Arabidopsis thaliana: one gene and its partners. The protein of the gene in region 3 purifies or fractionates together with the protein of the main gene of each other region. This does not show direct contact. Each region holds a gene or a part of one and is shown on either strand. Other genes may lie near its edges. The genes, in order: KRP6, AT5G02220, CYCD3;1 and CKS2.

Region 1 (5,504 bases), on a different chromosome or scaffold from region 3:
TAGCTAGAGTGATCGACCTGTTTGGCTTCTTCTTCTTTCTTTTTATTGCTTATAATATTAAAAGTCATGTTCAAACTTGGTTATATATGATAAGTGACAACAGAGAGAACCAGGTTCATTTAATTTTAGATTCAGATGAACAAGAAATGTGAATTTATGATCACAGACATAAGATGAGTTGCTGTGTATCTTCTTTAGTCAGTACTGGTCCTTTTGTCTAAGAAACTGTAACAAAAACAAGAACAACAGATATTAGAAAGAAAAAAAAAAGATGGATTGTTTTAAAAGAATTGCCAAAGGCATGAAAGAGGAAGAAACATATATAAGTAAAGATAAAATGTAAGATGAGACAGTTTCACAGATCCCGACCTCAACTGAAAATAAAGCTCACCAACTAACAGTCTACTGTAAAAAAAAAAGTCCTTTAAAAAGTGTGGATGACAAAAAAAAAAAAAAAAAAATGAGTCCTTAAAAAGTGTATTTTTACATTGTTTGACTTTTTCTTTTTCATCTGTTAGAAAACTCCAGCTCCTCTATTGACTTTTTTTTATGGCAATCAGGTGACCCAGTACAGAATTCTCAAGAATCAAGATTCATGTAATTTCGTTATGGTCATGTATGTGTAAGATATATTGTAGGGATTCTTAGGGTTTAATCCGGTCTTTTGTTTCATGGAAGATCTATTAAATAAATATTAGTGTATTATCTCGTTAGAATATCATTTTTTTTCTTTCTAATAACCTGTATTTTATCGGATTTGAATTCGGATCGTGAAACGATATTTAATAAAACATACTTGGTTACGAGTACTAGTTATAATCACTTTTTTTCTTTTTATATCTAAGTATTGCAATCAAAATTTTCTTGGCAGTCAAAATTATTTTAATCTTGACATAGAGTTTTCTACATAGTAAAAAATTATCTTAACATACAAATTAATAGTAGGAAGTGACATAGAAACTATCTTAACATACAAAATCAACTTATCTTTACATTTTTCTAACTAGCTAATCAACAATGTAACAAAAAAATATTTGATTATTGATTGATAGTGTTATTATATATTCATACAAATGAGAAAAGATTTGAAATGATAGGCGAAATTTTTATTGAAAAGTTCTATCAATTTTTTTAAAAGTTTAGGACGACCCTATTCAGGACTATATATGATCATATGGATTACAATGGTCACTGAATAAATTATTTTGAATTATATCATTCCCTCTTGATTTGTCTTAATAATTCCTAAATAAATGCCTAGGTCAGCGAATTCGTTGTTGCATCAGTCACTTAATTATTACTCGATGATTCCTTTTATTACTAAAATTTATTGAAAATGGTCCCATTTATTGGAAGAATAAAGAAGTAGTTACACTAAAATTTAATTATAGTATATGCTTAAATTTGTAAACCGTTCTGGCCATTTTGTATATATATATACATATATGGGCTCTTTAAGACGAGAATTGAGTTTAGTTGTTTACAATTGGTTTTAACTGTACGGACAGTTTAGTTGAGCTTTAATGGCTCATTCTCTATGGTGCTATATTATGGTTTTAACACATGTACATTATTTCATAATACATATGTCATTAAAATGACATAGAGGACAAAATCTGTTGTTGATGTGTATCTGATCAGTGGAAGAAACTTACACATGCATGGAAACTTTCAAAAAGACAACTAAGCATAAACAAGAGATTAATTAGACTTAAGCTGAGTTAGTCTCTATATGACATAATTGATGTTTCTACTAAGCAAACCCCAAACTGTTATTCCCTTTCCAGATTCAAGCATTATTTGATTCGTCATTGATTTCATGGTCTTGGTGATGATACGAACCAAAAAGTTGTATAATTGGTTTATAAGATGTAGGTTCTTACAAAATTGACTATGTAACAAAATTATAGTATTGTTTTAAACGTAAATTAACGAGGCGCTTCTAGACATGTTCCGACAAACATATATAATAGTACAGATGATTTTATAGAATGTAGTTAATCGATGTATCTTCTGCTATAGGTATCTCTAATTTATTGTTCCGACCACCACAATTCTTTTCTAAGTATTTTATAAATTGGTTAACCATGTATCTTCTGTTGTGTAATTATAGCTAGTATCTTCATTTGAAATATTGTAAGGAATAGTTTGTCTAATTGCTTATGATATTTGACCATCTAAGTAAGTTTATGAACTAATTGTTTTTCAAAAAAGGTTGATTAACCTTAATTACGTGATAGTTTTAACATTAAAAGATTTCAACACTATGTTCTGGATGTTAACATATCCATCTCAAAACCATGATAAAACGCGTACAATGGAAGGGATCAAGCTAATTTGACAAATCTCTATTCACACCTCAACCATTCATATATATACCCTCGATATATGTCACATCATTGGTTTTAGCTTTTAATTGATTCTCATAAAATATAAAACCCAATTACGAGAAAAGACTTGTTCGATGGTTCTCATAGACCCTGACCAAATAAGACTTGTTCCTAAACAAATCGAATTAAATAGAGTTGTGGTTTACTCATACTTTAAATCGTTTTAAGAAAAAATAATGACTACTGTTACGTTGCTACTACGTCATAACTACCGAAAATGATTGCGTTTTCAATTGCTTTGAAAGGAAGCCAAAAAGGCAAAAACGGCAAAAAGGGAGAGAAAACGCGTTTGGGAATCTCAACGGCGTTTGTGTAAGAAAATAAAAGCGAAACTCCGTAACGGCGCCGTTATATACCATAACCTCCGTCCGCTCACCAAGGAAAATAAAATCTCAACCGTTGAAATAATCAACGGCTCATGATTCATTCTCTCTCCTTCCCCACCAAAATCTCCTCTGCTTTGTTAAGAAGCGAACCAGAAATAGAAAGAAAAAAAAGCAGAGAGAGAGAGCACACAAAAATCCAAGAGAGAAAAAAATGAGCGAGAGAAAGCGAGAGCTTGCAGAAGAAGCTTCAAGCACAAGCTTCTCACCACTGAAGAAAACGAAGCTTAATGATTCTTCTGATTCATCACCGGACTCTCATGACGTCATCGTCTTCGCGGTTTCATCTTCTTCCGTTGCTTCGTCGGCGGCTTTAGCGTCTGATGAATGTTCCGTTACCATCGGTGGAGAAGAAAGTGATCAGTCCTCGAGTATCAGCTCCGGTTGTTTCACCAGTGAATCGAAAGAAATCGCGAAGAACAGTTCGTCGTTTGGTGTAGATCTGGAGGTGAATTTTCAAAATCAAATAACTCCTCTCTACTTGAATCGATTTAATCAGACGATTTTCTCAGTTTTCGTTTTGATTTTTTATTTCCGTTTCTGTGTTTCAGGATCATCAAATCGAAACCGAAACCGAAACCTCAACATTCATCACCAGCAATTTCAGGTTCATAATCTTTTTGTTTCCCCCCCCCCCCAAATTAGACGTTCAATCGATTTTATTCTCCTTGGCGATTTTTTCTCTGTTTTTTATGGCAGAAAAGAGACGAGTCCAGTGAGTGAGGGTTTGGGAGAAACGACAACAGAAATGGAATCATCATCGGCAACGAAGAGAAAACAACCGGGGGTGAGGAAGACTCCAACGGCGGCGGAGATTGAGGATTTGTTCTCGGAGCTAGAGAGTCAAGACGATAAGAAGAAGCAATTCATAGAAAAGTGAGTCCATTTTTACAATTTCATCATCTCTCTCACGTGTGTTCTTGTTGTTGTTGTGTGCGCTTTGCTTTTTGGGGTTTGGGAAAAATTGGAGTGAGTCCGTACCTAGAGAGAGAGAGAGAGGAATGTGAGTAAAAATGTCTGCGTGCGCATGATAAAAAGATTAACCGACGCGTAGTTTAGCAAATATCCTAAAAAGAGAGAGAATCAGAATCCTAACGAACACACACACTTTGGCACAGGTACAACTTCGATATTGTCAATGACGAACCGCTTGAAGGTCGCTACAAGTGGGATCGACTTTAAGCCATCAAAAAGCAAATACCATCCATGAAGAAGACAAAAGAAAAATAGGTTTTGTTTTTCGTGGTTAACATTTCCACTTGTACAGCTCTAGTCTATTTCTCTTTAAAAACCTATGTTACTAGTTCGTACAAAACAAAACAAAAAACACGACCTTTATAATGAAATTTCGGATCTTGGCTACTAATTACGGTGATTTCGTTGGTTTGTTATGTTTCTGTTTTAAAATCAAAAATGGTTTTGGCAGAGTTTTAAGTGCATGAATATAGAAAGGTGCTTCTTGTTTGGATTCTTTTAAAACATTGGATGCTTAATTATTACAATTATTTTATCTTACTCAAAACTATTATTTTTTGTTTGTCTCATGTCATTCTTATTCTTACACTTGCAGTTTATGTTATATTTAAATGTTTCATGTCATATAGTACCCAATTTACAAAAATATCTGAAACCAAAAATTGATGTTTTAAAAAAAAAATTGGAGAAAAGAGGAAAGGTACATGACATGACGGCACAGTAATACAGTTGGTTTGTACTTCTCTAAAAACTGCGATCATACAAAATACAAATATTATATTTTTTCTATTTTTTTCACTAATATTCTTTTATTTTATTTTGGAATATTCCTCTATTTTGGCACTAAACACAGGGTCCACTTAGTTAAAACCATTTTGGCCTTCATTAGATAAAACCAAAAAGCGGCCTATGCGGAGTAGTAATTTATCCTAATGAAGTGTGTTACTGTAACAAAATATCATCAATGAGTGATACTATATAAAAACGATTACATAGGATATATTTACGTGGATTAGCTTTTTGGTAACGCATTAAAAAAGGTTAATCTCATCATTGCATGGTTCCGTTGGGATTATATTTCTCCTTTGAGGCTTTTTTTTTACCATGTCTTACATAGCAGACACAGCCACGTGCTTCTGTTTCCACATTTATTTTTAAATTATTATATCATCTTCTATTTTTTTGTTTAATTAGTAATTTACAAGCTCGAGTAACAATTAAATAGAAATGTTGGAAAACATTGAAAACGAGAGAAACTACAACCCAAAATACTAATGATAAACAAAACCGGGAAGTGTATCTTTAAAAGAACGAACTTGTGGTTGCTCTAGTTTTGGGCCCTGGGGGCTTTGTTTCAGACCCAATACTTTCTTTAATCTATCGAATTTTTGGATTATTAATTAGAACTGAATTAGGATCTGGTTTCAATATTAATCCCTTAATACATACCTATAAAAAGGTTATTAATTTGAGAGATTGATATTGCAAAAGTTTTTAAGATGAACGAAGATGCTCTCGAAGCTGTACGATCTCGCACATTCTTCGCGATTCTGACTGTGTTTTATTCTATATTTCGTTGTTGTCTTGCTTATTGCAACAAAGGTGACGATGATCATCTGATTCATCCTAGTCATAGTTTACATGTCATAAAAGCCACTGGGATCAACCCTTCCGTTCTTTTATCAATTCCTGTCGTATCTTTCAACGCTAATGCCTTCAAAGACAATATCGAATGCGTCGTTTGTCTATCAAAGTT
Region 2 (4,285 bases), on a different chromosome or scaffold from region 3:
TATGGGTAGAAAAGAAATTGATATACAAAGTGGCCATATAATTGGTACTTTCGAAAAAGACATGAGAGTCTAAGTTTAGGAGGAACAACAGCTGTTTGCAATTCAGCTTTTGTTTTAATAAAGTATTTTGTTTTTTTTGATTAATTAAAGTGGCAAATAATTGGACTCTTGATCGTGAAGAAATACGAACAGAAAATCAATAAACGCAAGTGTCCCGATTAGAAACTTTGGTAACTTTTAAAAATGTTAGATATTTGTATGAAATTCCTCTTAATTAAATAATTTAATAGTTTTTAGAATTACGTGTATAAAATGTCACTTTGATCAATAGGATTTAAACTATAATTGGTGATTCTGATTTTGACTAATATAACTCTTATTTTTCCTGAACTGTTGCATTTATATCAAAAGTAGCTAGTTGGCATTGATATTGACGTCTTTGCTCTTTTTCTTTCTTTTTAAATGGTTATTTCCGGGTTTTCGATTAGTCATTTTTCTGTTCTTATTGATTAACTCAATTAATCGTCAATATCAAAATTACTCACGAATATAATTAAAATTAAATTAAGTAATAAGAGCTGTAAGAAGAGAAACACAAAGCATCTTCGTATAAATTTATACTAAATGTAAACATACTAACAACATTAACAAAGAAAACTCCATAGAGGTCCAAGAGAAGAGGTTAGATTAGTTTGGAATATAATAACAAGGGAAAATAATTAACTAAAGCTATTCTGCTAGTACAACGAGTTACGATAAAAGTCAATGTATTACTTATCATATAGTATTCATATTCAAATCGTGTTAGTGATCATATAATATTTTTTTCTTTTGGCGTATGAATCAGAAATTTATGTGTAGTTTCGTAATTCGGACTCATAGAAAAAAATTGTCAAGTCGTGGTGAAAAGGACAATCACTCAAAACTAAAGGCACTAACAAAATATTTTGTCACTCATTCGTCAAAACTTAATTGATACTATAGAAAGACATCAATATGACTCATGTATGTAGACTGAGACTCCACTACAAATTGTAGACTACAATCTCCCTGTTATTTCTCTTTTTTTTTTTTTTTTTTTTCATATATCAATTTTATATTTTTTTAATAAAAAAATCTGATAACTGAATCTCCAAAATGAAAATTAAATTACTAGGAGTCCAGGACTAGGTTTCGTTTGATATAAAAGTGGAGCCGCAAGCAATATTGCTTGATCAATTAGTATTATATAATGGTAAAAACTAATAACTAGGATTATTGTATAATTTGTACTCATGATCATCGAGAGTAGAGAATGTGATAGGCTCTCCATGTTCACATATATATACGTTGACATTTCAGTGAAACAACAAATTGCAAGAAAATTTCCTTGAGTACAACAAAGACCTGCAAACAACTCTATTTCCACATAAAATTCGTTGTTTTTATTATTTAAATAAGAAGCTCTACAATACGTCTACGTTGTAATTTAAAACGACAAGTTAAGAACTTATCTGAGGACCATTTTAACCGATGTTGAAACTAGAAGACCGAGTCAAGTGAAAAGGATTAGTAGTTGACAACAACGAAAAACATGAAGTTACAATAAACTAATTTTAATTATTAATCGCCGGAGCACCCCACATATTCTCGGAGCTCTTTTCGCCGCCGGTAATGTTTATTTTAATGGGCCAAAACGGATATATTATATAGTTAATCAGATTGGGCCGTTTAAGTTTTTTTGGGTTTTTTGCTTTCTTCTTGGGTTTGACCGATTGATACTTTTTGTGGTTTATGGGCTTCTCTTAAATTTGCTACTATAATAATTTTTTGATAATTTTATATTTCTAAAGTTTTGTTATACCATAATCAATATATAATCTTGACAAAAATCAATTACTTATAATTTTTATTTTTTGCTACGTTGGCTTGTAACTGGAGGACAAGAACAACGGTAACAGTGAGAGTGCGTTTAACTCTCAGAAATAAATCACGTGAATAACTTGGTGGAAGACCGCACGTGCCACCCTCGTGATTCATTTCCAGAAGCTATATAAGGATTAAAAAGATACCGGTTTACAATTTCGGTTTAATGTTACCAAAACCGATCGGTATACGAACATAAAATTTTCGCTGCAAAAAGGAAGGAGTCCTTTTTTAATTTTCCCGCCCAAAGGGACTTGCTGCGCAAGTTCGCGCCGTCACAAACGGATAAATTACAGATAAAAAATATTATTAAATATGATAAAAGTGGACAAAATATATATTAATATAATAAAGATTTACCAATAATGATAGTGGAGCGTGAGAAACGGTGCGGTTGGGTCACGCGTTACTTAAATTTGGTGCTACCAACCACTAAAATTCCACCACGTCAGCATAGCCAGCTCACATCAAGCTGTTTAAAACCATATCCACCGTCCGATTGATATTTCAGAAAGAGCTTCGTGAGAAAGATTCCTTTTTTGTTCTCCCTCCCAAATTTCGAATTTTTTAAAAGGAAATAATCTGAATTTTTTTTTTTTTTTTGATATATAAAATAAAGATGTAACCGCCTCTTCTCAGACTTCAAATTTTTTCCCTCTTACGACGATTTCGAGTTCGAGAGAGAAGAATGGAGGTGGTGGAGAGGAAGACGGAGATGGCGGAGGAAGGATGTACGACGCCGAGAAGCACGATGTATAGGATTCCGGTGGCGTCTGTTTGTCCACCGCCGCCGAGGAAGAAGTTGATGGTGGTGAGAAAACGAGATCCGCCGAGGAACGGGTACTTTCAGCCACCAGATCTTGAAACTTTGTTCTACGCACAGCCTCGAAGAGAAGCTTGCGCTTAGATTTTGAGATTTGATTTGATTTGAATTATCTAGGTTTTTTTTTTACTTTCTTCTCTGTAGATACATGTTTAGGGTTTGTTCTCTTATTAGATTTTATTTATCTTTCAGAGAGATGACTTTGTTTGTGTATCGAAATTGGAATTTGCTAAAATGAAACTTTGATCTGTTTTCCAATTCGAAATTTGTTGGCTTGTGTTCTAGATCTAATTAGTTCTTGTCGGAGATTGAAAGATTGATTGTTAAACTCTGATTATGCTGTTTATTGATTAGAGAGTTTTTTTCAACTACATAATTGGGTGAGAAAGTGAGGTTTAGAAACTGTGAACAAGACAACATCAAAAGCTTAACGAAAATTCAGATGAACCAATGTCTTTATTTGCTCTGTTTTTTTGGTTATTCATAAGTGTTGAAAAAGTAGTGCTCAAACTCTTTGATCAATGGTTGGTTTTTGAGGTAGTTTCTTCGGAATCTGCAATTCAAATGAATGTCATACAATTTTGTAATGCGTGACACTAAAATATTGACTCATGTAGGTGAGTAAAGTCTTCAACATCTTCGTGTGTTTTATGATTAACTTTGGAACAACACTGGTCCAAGCTTGATGTAACATAACCAGAACCATAACTTCCGGTTGAATGATTAGACATGTGTCCTTGCCGGTTTTTGTGTCCCAAATAAGGTTCTGGGAGAGACGCAAAAGGGGAGGTCTCATTGCCGGTTTTTGTGTACTCCATGGCTCCATGGCATATAAGAGCATTTCAGCAGATTCTATGTCGGATGAAGAATCAGGAAGAGAAGCTTGTTGCTCCAGACAAAAGTGCTTCCGTAGGGGTAAACATGGCTGATTCTTCAACACAGTTTCCTCTTTTTGCTCTGAGTCACAAGGTTTCCGCAGTGACTATCATCAGATCGTTGATATCGCTGAAAGCAAATAGTCGTATAGTAAAGGTCATATATTAACTTATTTTCCATGAGAGTAAAGAGATGACTATCTACAATTGTAACTTCCAAGTTAATTTCTTAAGTATAAAGTATCCACACCGTTTAACTAAAGACAACATTTTACATTTAACATAGGTACCACTGAGATGAAGAGGAAGGATCTCTTAAAGTACAAATCTTGTTAGTCCAGAATCTAAATCCACAAGTACTTTGTTTGAATATAGCAAAGATAAGCTATGCTAGCTATACTTACGATTCAAGTGTTCAGTATCTCGTAGGCCATCAACATGTTGCTATGCTAGCTATACTTGATAATCCTAACACCAAAACGCACTACTTCACCTTTAAACACAGTGAGGAAAACCATCTAGCACCTCAGAGGCACGATACTTTATAGCTCATGTAAATAACCATTCACAGAAGATGAAAAAAATGAAAAGCAAAAGGGAAATTCCGATTCCGAGCAGAGTATATGAGAAACTTGGAGTGATTTTTCAGATTCAAGATACAAGTTTTTCGAAAATTTGTTAC
Region 3 (5,874 bases):
AAGTGGTGTCTAGCAAATAACAAAGCGAAGCTATATCTATATTTATTTACTTATTGATTGTCGTGAATCTATCTTTAATGGTGACATGCCATAGAATTATCACTATTGTGTGGTTGTGCTTGTAATTGTTTGTAAAAATTTTGATTTTATGAATCAAAGATTATCAACATCTAGACTTTAATAGTTAAGGAAATAATAATATTTAAAAAACGCGTACCTAAATCTAATGAAAAGTCAAAATTACGGTCAACGCCTTACGAGACGCGTCTGGTTCTTGAAAGCAAGTTCTGCGTTATTTCATCATCAATCAAAGTCGCCATTTTATTTTTATTTAAAGTCTCACGTCACGGAATTATCTCTCTGAATTCATCATCTTCATCATTACCTTCTTTTTCTCAATCTCGATTGTTTTCTTCCAAATTCATGTCGATGATGGCGGGTATACAAGGCCAGATTCTCGAGGTCACTGGTTCGTACCTTTCTCACATCCCCAATTCTATTATGTTCTTCAACCTTATCTATGATCCGTTGAAATGTTAACTTTTAAAATTTCTGGGATTCTTTTGATTTGTCAGTTGTTGGGTGCCAGAAATTGAAAGACACGGAATGGTTTTCAAGACAAGATCCATACGTCGTCCTTGAGTATGGTGGCAGAAGTCACCGTACCAGAACCTGCACAGGTTATTTTTAATACCACCTCTTTTATTCATAATTTGTTCAGATCCAGAAAAAATTGAACAAAGTTAAGATCTTTCAATGAATTTGATTGATGGGTTTGTTTTTTCAGATGGTGGAAAGAACGCTGTTTTCCAAGAGAAGTTTATCTTCACTTTGATTGAAGGGCTTAGGGATCTTAAGGTTGCTGTCTGGAATAGCAACACTCTCTCCACTGATGACTTCATTGGCAATGCAACGTATGTGTCACTTCTTATCATTGCCTTGTTATGCTTTTTAATACCCGCTTTGGATTTGGAATTGAGTCTTTTGTTGTTTGGTTGTTATTAGGATTCAATTGCAGAAAGTTCTTTCTCAGGAATACGACGACTGTACCTGGACTTTGCAGAGTAAAACTGGGAGGTAATTACATTGGCTTTACTAGTTTTTGTTCCTTTTCCATTAAGTATCATGTTTGGTAATCTCGATTATTGCATGGTTCACATTTGTCTAGCTGATTTTGGTGCAACTTTTTGATGTGGTTTCTACTATATAGTGCTTGAATATATAGTTTCGCCAGTTGCTTTGCTTTGCTTTGCTTTGTTCTTGTCATTTACTTACAGTGCTGACATGGTTTTGCTCACTGATCAGAGTCGTTATGTGTGTTTTTGTGTCCTAAATTGTTAATCTGTGTGAACTACTTGTTCGAATGTTCTGTTTCTACATTGAGCACACTCACAATTGATGTAGCATTTTGATTAGGTTTCTCTGGAACTTATGAAAGATAACTAGACATTTTGACATAAATGGAGCTTCTATTGTCTGTTGTTAGGTTACCTCAGTAAAGAGATGTGAAGTTGCGTTTAAACATTGTAGCATCAAATTAGAATTTCTTAAAACTGGTCTCTTGAGGTATTCCATTTTTGTTTTTGAAAAAGAGAAAGTTATGTGTTTTTTAATCCATGGCTATGTGTTTTGTTTTCTTAAATTCCTGGAAAATCGGTTACAATGTGCCAAGATTTTGGTAGCTTGTCCTCAGCGATTGCTCCTTGTAAAAGATTACTTTTTTGATTAAAAGCCTTGTGAAAAACATCAACCTTTCTGTCTTGTAGATTCGCTGGAGAAGTACAACTCCTACTGCATTATGCGGGAGCAAAGGTAAGTCGAGCCTCAATTAGCAACATTGGTTAACATGTTCCATTATAAACAAAAGGCTAAACACACAATCCACTCTTGTATGCAGAAACATAATTACGGGTCTGCGCCATCAGCACCGTATGCACCTCACGTACCTCAATACTCAGCACCGCCTTCTGCATCTCCGTATTCAACAGCACCACCATACTCTGGACCATCTCTATACCCACAAGTACAACAATACCCTCAGCCATCAGGATACCCTCCAGCTTCAGGGTATCCTCCTCAGCCATCTGCCTATCCACCTCCCTCAACCTCGGGCTACCCTCCGATCCCTTCAGCTTACCCACCTCCTCCGCCATCCTCAGCTTACCCTCCTCAACCATACCCTCCGCAACCATCATATTACCCACAAGGTACCTTCCTTTCTTTCCTGTTCTATGCTGCAATTGATCGCATTTGCTTGTCTCTAACTATAGTCAGTGGTGGTTGATCTTTTTTCTTCTTGTTTCCAGGTCCATATCCAGGACAATACCCACCTCCTCCATACTAGAGCGTTTGGCGTTTAGAATTTGACGGGAAGTGGTCATGATGTATAGATTATAGTTATGGTGTTTTCTAGAATTTGGCAGACGAATTTCTTTGTTTTGTTTTTTTTATATCATCTTCCTTGTGCTATTGCTAGCGTGATGGTTAATTTTTGAGTTGGTCAGTGAAACTTATTGAGAAGTTTGGATCTTTTCATGTTTAACCAGATCGCAGATTATATTGAATTATTACTCTAAATCCTTGGTTTTGTGTGTTCATCATCCTCTTGAGTTAAAATTATGTTAAAAACAAAAAAAGGTTTTGGTTCTGTCTTTAACTTTAAGAAACGGAACTTATCGGCGTATAATCATCGCACTTGTGATCAGATGCAATTAGAAAAAGGTTATTTGGTCAATGTATAGCAATATCTTTAGGTTCTAACAAAAACATTATTGTTGACAAATAGCCCAAAAGTAGTAGAATTTAGCCGACAGATTTTACTGCACTTTGGTTTCTCGATCTCTACTCCAAATGAGTAAAAAGTGGGTAAAGCGGGAAACAGCAAAAGAAATCACACATTTAATAAAAAATAAAGAAAAAGAAATTCCACATTAAATAATCACAACAAGAAAAACAAATAATATATTAGTAAAAGACAAACGTAAAAACCATCTCTCGGCCTTCTCTCATAAATCAATCTCTCTTCTTATCACTCTCCGAAACCCACTTCCAGCTTTTTCCTCTCTCTTTCTCTCTCTAGTCTCTCTTTTGTAGCTCTCCCCTGCTAAGCTAACCACTGCACGTTTCCATAGAGAGGAAAGATGAGTCTCTCTCCGAGAGATTTTCTCTCTATCATCTTATCTTCTTCCGTGTAATGCTCTGAGCCAAAACCCAATAACTAAATCAACAACAATATAGAAGAGAAGAGAAAGATCTTATCTTTCTTCTCATTCTTGAGTTTAGTCCCCCACAATGGCGATTCGGAAGGAGGAAGAAAGTAGAGAAGAACAGAGCAATTCGTTTCTTCTTGATGCTCTCTACTGCGAAGAAGAGAAATGGGACGATGAAGGAGAAGAAGTTGAAGAAAACTCTTCCTTGTCTTCTTCTTCTTCTCCATTCGTTGTTTTGCAACAAGATTTGTTCTGGGAAGATGAAGATCTGGTTACACTCTTCTCCAAAGAAGAAGAACAAGGACTCAGCTGTCTCGATGATGTTTATCTTTCCACGGATCGAAAAGAAGCTGTTGGTTGGATTCTGAGAGTCAACGCTCATTATGGCTTCTCTACTTTAGCAGCTGTTTTAGCCATAACTTATCTCGATAAGTTCATCTGTAGCTACAGCTTACAGAGAGACAAACCATGGATGCTTCAGCTCGTTTCTGTCGCGTGTCTCTCATTAGCTGCTAAAGTCGAAGAAACCCAAGTCCCTCTTCTTCTAGACTTTCAAGTAAATGATGATACTTGCAATAAATTTCCTTAAAGTTTAAGTCTTTTATCCCTCTGTTCTCATCTCTCTGTTTTTTTGGGGGTTTGCAGGTGGAGGAGACAAAGTATGTGTTTGAAGCAAAAACCATACAGAGAATGGAGCTACTGATTCTGTCTACTCTCGAGTGGAAGATGCATCTCATTACTCCAATTTCGTTCGTAGACCACATTATCAGGAGATTGGGACTTAAGAACAATGCTCACTGGGATTTCCTCAACAAATGCCACCGTCTCCTCCTCTCTGTAATCTCCGGTTCGTAAACGACAAAAAGAAAAAAGCCACTCCATTTCGTTTTACCATCTGCTGAATCTGAGTAATCATCTTACATTCTTGTCTTATCTTCCTCAATTGTCTTTGTCAGATTCAAGATTTGTCGGGTACCTCCCATCAGTAGTTGCCGCAGCTACCATGATGCGAATTATAGAGCAAGTTGATCCCTTTGACCCTCTTTCATACCAAACTAATCTCCTCGGTGTCCTTAACTTAACCAAGGTTAGCTTCTCTAATCATCTCTCTACTTGTTTTCACTCAGTCATTTTCTCAAACAACTCTCGTGCATTAACAGGAAAAGGTGAAAACTTGCTACGATCTAATCCTCCAACTACCAGTGGACCGCATCGGTTTACAGATCCAAATCCAATCTTCCAAGAAACGCAAGAGTCACGATTCATCATCATCGTTGAACAGTCCAAGCTGCGTGATTGATGCAAACCCTTTCAATAGCGACGAAAGCTCAAACGATTCGTGGTCAGCGAGTTCGTGCAACCCACCAACGTCGTCGTCGTCCCCGCAGCAACAACCTCCATTGAAGAAGATGAGAGGAGCTGAAGAGAATGAGAAGAAGAAGCCGATTTTGCATCTGCCATGGGCAATCGTAGCCACTCCATAATCGAAAGCTCGATTTCGTTTATATGATATTTACTGTTTTTTTAAACTTTGAGAACAATCTTTGTTGTATTAAGCTTTACCCGTTTGCATATACGAAATGTCGCGAATGCCCTTACGTGCCATGGCTTGATAGAGTTAATGGGTAAAGGGTATTCATGACATTTGACTGCATGGGATGTGACGAAGGAGAGAATTAGAAATAATAATAATAATATTGCGTAAATTTTGAGGCTTGCCCAATCTTTGGGCCGTAATCTCCGGCGTTATTCATATTTTATTAATGTTTTATATTATGAGTAGTAGTATGTTCTAAAATCTGCTTTGCTGAAGGAAATAATAATTACATACATATTCTTTTACTCCTGTAGTTTAGGAAAGAAAAAAACGCATTTAAATCCGTGCTATTTGATAACTACATTTTTTTCGTCCAGAATGGTGGATAATACAAAATTTAAGAAATGAGATGTCACAATGTTTTAATATTTGAATGAGACTGTTGTGTTTATGATCGAAAGTGAAAGATTTAGCGTTTTTAGCTTTGACTTTTGGGAGAAGAGCCAATTGTTGCTGCTTTTTTTGTCAGTCTTTAAATATAATCGCTTTCAAAGATGAATCAATAATTAAAATTTTAAAACGGAAAGACAAAAATGAAAACGTAACACTATATTATTGCTTTAGATTTTTTGTCTAAAGTCTTGTCAAAACCTGCTCTACACTATATTATTGCGTATCAAATAACTAACTACACATGAACATGTAAGTTGTCGAAAATAACAACATATAATTATAAATGTTTTTAAAAATCAAACAGCGAAACTTAAATCAAATCTACAGAGTGTAGATCTTTCGTTGACCAGTAGATAAATTAACTGCGACAGACAGACACAGGACAAGAAGGAGGAAGTGAAGTAAACGCGCCATATATAGGTGAGTGTTGTTCGACGACGATAAAAATGTGGTGCAGCATTAGTAACAACACCAGAACCAAAGTAACCTGCTTCCACTCTGAGCACCTGGGATTAAGACACGTGGCAAAAAGTATCCAGCGTTACTATTCTTTTTTTCTTTTAATAACATCAAATAATCGTCAATTAATTACGAAAATTGAAGATATTAAATTTAACAATTTACTATTATAAAATCCCTTTTGTATCACGGAAAAGCTTATATGATAATGCGATT
Region 4 (5,116 bases), on a different chromosome or scaffold from region 3:
TCAACGCCATTGCAGCTGGGAGAGTTCAGGGAGTTGATGCAATTGCTGAGATAACCAATAGATGCATTCGAATTGTCAGCTCTTTTGTGACCGAGCTCCCAAGTGTATGCGTGTTATGCAGGTGAATATCAAGCTTTTCCATTATTTCTAGTCTCTTGATGTCTTCCTTCATAGTGTCTCATTAAAAATGTTTAGTTGAGAAGATGTGTATTGGCTAACTGAAACCATTTGCTTATGAGACTGACCTTTGCTTAATTTTCTATGTTGTTGCAGAGGTCATAGTTTTTGCAGGTTGGGCTTTAATGCTCGCACTGTGATTATCTGTGATCAGGTACTTTGTTGTTCATTGCTGTATAGGGTTCCTTGCCTCTTAAATCTGCTTCTGGTCTTCACCATTTTTGGTTTTGTTGTTTTCTCCTCAGTGTGAAAAGGAATTCCATGTTGGCTGTTTGAAAGAACGTGACATTGCTGATCTCAAGGTTCTTTGCCTATTTAGCTCTTTCATTCCCTCGGGTGAAAACTCAGTATCTATCTTTCTCATTCTTGTTATGTCTTAACAGGAGCTACCTGAAGAAAAATGGTTCTGTTCCCTCGGGTGCGAAGAGATCAACACTACATTGGGCAATCTGATAGTTCGCGGAGAAGAGAAGCTAAGTAACAATATTCTGAATTTTTTAAGGAAGAAGGAACAACCTAATGAAGAAAACTGTCCAGATTATAAAACCACTCCTGACATAAGATGGAGGGTCCTTAGTGGGAAGTTGACCTCTTCAGATGATACCAAAATATTGCTTGCAAAGGCACTTTCCATTCTTCATGTAAGTCAAGACCACATTTCAAACTCTTCTGTCCTTTCTGCTGTTTGTCCCTTCTAACAATTGTATGCTATAGGAACGGTTTGATCCTATCAGTGAATCTGGGACCAAGGGAGATTTGATACCAGCCATGGTGTATGGGTAAGCAATTTTGTATCTTCAATCAGTCGAGTGGATTATTCTTTGTGCTGATCAACAACTTTTGTGTGTGGAACAGAAGGCAAACAAAGGCCCAAGATTTTAGTGGCATGTACTGCACTATGTTGGCTGTGGAGTAAGATTCTTCTTCTTTTTCACTCTAATTTATTTTCTGTGACGCATGTTTCATCTTTTTAATGTTGTCCTTTTTTTGTTTCTTGTGCAGCGAAGTGATTGTTTCAGTGGGAATCTTTAGGGTTTTTGGGTCAGAACTTGCAGAACTCCCTCTGGTTGCTACCAGCAAAGATTGTCAAGGGCAGGTAAACAGTTTTTATCTGGAACCTTGGATGTTTTTTCTTTACAACAGGTGCCTACTCCTATAGAATGGTTAATAAACGACTCACTCTTACTGTCAATCCCATACATTGATAAATTATACAGTGATACATCTAAGCAGACATGTTTTTGTGTCGAATAGCTTAAGAGCAGAACAATGTGTAGCATCTTAATTGCAGAAGGAATTTTTTTGTGTCAAATTGTACCTGGGGGATGAAATGCTTGTGATTGCTCTTTTTTGAGAGTTTGAGAATTTATGTTTTTTTTTTCCTATTGTAGGGTTACTTCCAATGCCTGTTTGCTTGCATCGAGAGGCTACTTGGGTTCCTAAACGTGAAACATATCGTGCTACCAGCAGCAGATGAAGCCAAATCCATATGGACTGACAAATTTGGTTTCACCAAGATGACCGACGAAGAGGTATATATCTATATCCATATAAACTTATATACACTCCCAATGAATCCCATCTCTGATACACACTGTGTTTGTGTGTTATTAGGTGAAAGAATACAGAAAAGACTACTCGGTGATGATCTTTCATGGAACATCTATGTTGAGAAAGAGTGTACCAGCACCGAGTGCCGTGAGTAAAACTGAGGCCAGTAAGGAGGAGTAAGCTCAAGGTTGTCTTTGTTTTTTGGTTTTTGGAAAGTTGGTGAAACGATTGGATGCTCTTTTTTAATCTAATTTCGGGTAGTAGCCACGTTCTTGTACAGGTTTCTCCCCTAACGTGTCTTTCTTTGTAATGGAAACTAGAGAGAAAGATACACAAAAGGGTTAGAGAATTTGGTTTTGGTAGAGACGAAGTAGAGATAAGAGGGGGAAGTAAATGGGGAAGTCTAAAACATTAGGGCATTCTTTTGGGGGTTTAGTCATGATTATCCGAAGCTAATTTTTTTTTGTATATTAGTGCCCAAAAATGAAATTCAATTTTCTGAAATCTTTTTCTTTTTGTCACTGATGTTTATATATCGAACAAAGGAGGTATACAAAGCCGGCGAGTATACGGACACCTGAACTCTGACTATAAGAGGAAGATACTGATGCCTTTAGAAATGAATCTCTGAACCGGGAATTATACCGGTTTGATTAACGTCGAACCGTAATCAAAATTTTAGGGCTCCACTAAGCGGGAAGGAGCGCCTCTAAGAAATTTGAAACTCAAAAAAATCAAAACACCCGTTGAGAAAATGCCCCTATAAATCCCCATAATTACTTCCTTACCACAATGCCTTTTTAATTCCCTTTCGCTTTCCCTCTTCTCCCCTAAAATTCATTTCGTTTCCGATCGCACTTCTTCTCAAGGTCTGCTTTACTTCCCGATTCTTAGATTAGGGTTCGATTTCTGATTTGTTTAGGTTCTCGTCGTTGTTTAGGGTTTAGATTACTGACAGATTGCTCCATTTCTTTTGTTTAGTAAATTTAATAGACGTTTGTTGGGTGATTTAAGAAGATGGGTCAGATCCAGTACTCCGACAAATATTTCGATGATACTTTCGAATACAGGTGATTCTCAGTTTGATTCTCCTCCCATTTTAATGGAGTTCTCTCTCACGTTTTAGTTTCAGTCTAATCGCGTGGTCTTTTATTTTTCTCTCAGGCACGTTGTACTTCCTCCGGAAGTTGCTAAGCTTTTACCTAAGAATCGTATTCTTTCGGAAGTAAGTTAAAAATTAGGGCTTTCCTCTATTCGCTGTATAACCCTTGAATCATCGTAGGCTAAGAGATTTACATGTTTAAGAAATTAAGTTAGGAAATTGAAGTTTGGACTTTTGAGAGTCGAAGAAATTGAAGTTTCTGCTTAGGAATTTGAAGTTTTGCTTCTCATTAACTTGTTTATTAACTTTAGGTTGTGTAATTGTCAGCAGTGACGAAGATAGTTTAGATATTTTTTTGTGTTATCAGTCAATTCTCAGTTTTCTGATTTTGAAGTTAACAGTTTTCTTGTTTTACAATCTGGTTTTGTAGAGTGAATGGAGAGCCATCGGAGTGCAGCAAAGTCGTGGATGGGTTCATTACGCGATTCATCGTCCTGAGCCACATATCATGCTCTTTAGGAGGCCTCTTAACTACCAGCAGGAGCACCAAGCTCAGATTGCTAAGTAGAAGAATTATGCAAAATTCTCCCTAATCTCTGTTTATGTCTCTCGTAAACGAGGTTTTAAAATACTACTCTGATGTTTTGTTCCTGTAGTTTTTTTTATTGTGTTCATGAATTCTCTTCAGTGGAGAATCATGTGAGTTTGGTAGAACAACTTTTAATGTTATGTTAAGTCTGGTCCTTTGCTAGACTTTGGTTGGATCCACGTTTGAACTTCTTCATGGTTAAGAATGAAGACGTTATTTCTCATGCTTATGTGCTTGTTTCATCATTTCAACCTCTTTTTATTGCTCCTCTTAGAGTCTTAAGTCCATAACTATGAACAACAAACAAGGTATCATTACAATGCCAATCTGAAGGTCTAATCACGATTCTCATGGCGATACTGATTCAAAGAAACTCATATTGTGTCTCAATCACCACATTCACCAAACACCATATATTCCTTACTGTACTACTATTAGTGTATTGAAACCAGGAGATTCAGAGCCATTTTTATAAATTAACTAGATATGTATCTTATACCTAGTGTGAAGCACTGATTGTTGGAATTAAATGAAATTTCGAGAAAATGAACGAGTTCGTAGTTTGATGGTAAATAACAAGGTCTTTGGTCAAAGCAACCAAACAAGTTGTTGAATTTAATTAGAACCAAACCAATCCACCCAATTTCAATTCATTTTGGTAACTAACCGGTTTATAATCATTCATACCCAATCGGCGTCTTCTAAAGAATTTCAAAACTCTAAAAAGTTAATCAAACACCCCTCTATTTCCTCATAATTACATATCTACCCCAAACCACTTTATTCTCCTTTCACTATCTTCCCCAAATTTCAAACGATCAGATTACAGATTCTTCAATTCCTCTTTCCCTTCTCCTCCATTTCCTGATTAAGGCTTCACATCTCTGAGAGAGAAATGGGTCAGATCCAATACTCCGAGAAATACTTCGATGACACTTTCGAATACAGGTAAAGCTCTTCAATCTCGCTTCTTCTTCCTCCAATTTTCACTCTCACTTCTCTAATCGTAATCGATCGATACAGGCACGTCGTTCTTCCTCCTGAAGTCGCTAAACTTCTTCCAAAGAATCGTCTTCTCTCCGAAGTAAGTTTTTTTCCGCATTGTTCTCTGATTTCTGATTCTAAATCCTTCGATTAGATCATCGAAGACTATGAAAATTTGTTGCTCTTAAGAAATTAAGTTTGGGAAAAATCGAAAAAGAGATCGTTTAGGTTTAGGATTTGAATCTTTGCTCTGAATCCAAATTGCAACTGTTACGATTTTGAATCTTTGCTTTGGGATTTTGTAAGGTTTAGTGATAAAGAGATTTTAGACATTTGTGTTGTGCAATCTCTTCAATGTTGTATTGATTGGTGGTGATGGTAAAAATGTTTGGAATTTCGAAGAACGAATGGCGAGCGATAGGAGTGCAGCAAAGCCGCGGATGGGTACATTACGCGGTTCATCGACCTGAGCCGCACATAATGCTATTCAGGAGGCCTCTTAACTATCAGCAGCAGCAGGAGAATCAAGCTCAGAACATGCTTGTTAAGTGAATCATTATCATCACCTGAGTAAGAATGTTATATGCAACAATTCTATGAGTATTGGTTTATGTTTCTTGTAAACATGGTTTGAATCTTTGTGGTTATGGATGAATATGTGAGAGTTGGTTTGTTGAACAACTTCTATGTAATGTTAGTCTTGGTTCTAATGT

The links.
Region 1: the proteins of CYCD3;1 (region 3) and KRP6 purify together in Arabidopsis thaliana (affinity purification with mass spectrometry, with the first as the bait; 2 studies listed by BioGRID). This does not show direct contact.
Region 2: the proteins of CYCD3;1 (region 3) and AT5G02220 purify together in Arabidopsis thaliana (affinity purification with mass spectrometry, with the first as the bait; 2 studies listed by BioGRID). This does not show direct contact.
Region 4: the proteins of CYCD3;1 (region 3) and CKS2 purify together in Arabidopsis thaliana (affinity purification with mass spectrometry, with the first as the bait; 2 studies listed by BioGRID). This does not show direct contact.

The regions. Positions count from the first base shown.
Region 1 is NC_003074.8:6,615,079-6,620,582, reverse strand, and holds KRP6 (KIP-related protein 6), read left to right. Parts: upstream 1-2,631; 5' UTR 2,632-2,927; coding exon 2,928-3,221; intron 3,222-3,324; coding exon 3,325-3,380; coding exon of another isoform or gene 3,381-3,472; coding exon 3,473-3,649; coding exon of another isoform or gene 3,650-3,653; exon of another isoform or gene 3,654-3,891; coding exon 3,892-3,955; 3' UTR 3,956-4,253; downstream 4,254-5,504. Other genes in the region: DNF (RING/U-box superfamily protein), read left to right, coding at 5,248-5,504. UniProt on the Arabidopsis thaliana protein: Binds and inhibits CYCD2-1/CDKA-1 complex kinase activity. Regulates cell division which is crucial for plant growth, development and morphogenesis. May inhibit CDK kinases specifically involved in the G1/S phase transition.
Region 2 is NC_003076.8:440,411-444,695, reverse strand, and holds AT5G02220 (cyclin-dependent kinase inhibitor), read left to right. Parts: upstream 1-2,508; 5' UTR 2,509-2,593; coding exon 2,594-2,812; 3' UTR 2,813-3,244; downstream 3,245-4,285.
Region 3 is NC_003075.7:16,354,612-16,360,485, forward strand, and holds CYCD3;1 (CYCLIN D3;1), read left to right. Parts: upstream 1-2,809; 5' UTR 2,810-3,291; coding exon 3,292-3,765; intron 3,766-3,854; coding exon 3,855-4,056; intron 4,057-4,165; coding exon 4,166-4,296; intron 4,297-4,369; coding exon 4,370-4,693; 3' UTR 4,694-4,954; downstream 4,955-5,874. Other genes in the region: AT4G34150 (Calcium-dependent lipid-binding (CaLB domain) family protein), read left to right, coding at 424-469, 576-680, 788-914, 1,006-1,077, 1,767-1,812, 1,898-2,207, 2,307-2,344. UniProt on the Arabidopsis thaliana protein: Involved in the control of the cell cycle at the G1/S (start) transition. Activates the G1/S phase transition in response to cytokinin hormone signal, but declines in response to sucrose starvation leading to G1 arrest.
Region 4 is NC_003071.7:11,910,742-11,915,857, reverse strand, and holds CKS2 (CDK-subunit 2), read left to right. Parts: upstream 1-2,432; 5' UTR 2,433-2,597; intron 2,598-2,709; 5' UTR 2,710-2,745; coding exon 2,746-2,798; intron 2,799-2,892; coding exon 2,893-2,953; intron 2,954-3,260; coding exon 3,261-3,398; 3' UTR 3,399-3,707; downstream 3,708-5,116. Other genes in the region: AT2G27980 (Acyl-CoA N-acyltransferase with RING/FYVE/PHD-type zinc finger domain-containing protein), read left to right, coding at 1-121, 274-331, 423-479, 561-818, 892-956, 1,033-1,089, 1,180-1,273, 1,569-1,709 and 1 more; CKS1 (cyclin-dependent kinase-subunit 1), read left to right, coding at 4,315-4,367, 4,443-4,503, 4,806-4,955. UniProt on the Arabidopsis thaliana protein: Binds to the catalytic subunit of the cyclin dependent kinases and is essential for their biological function.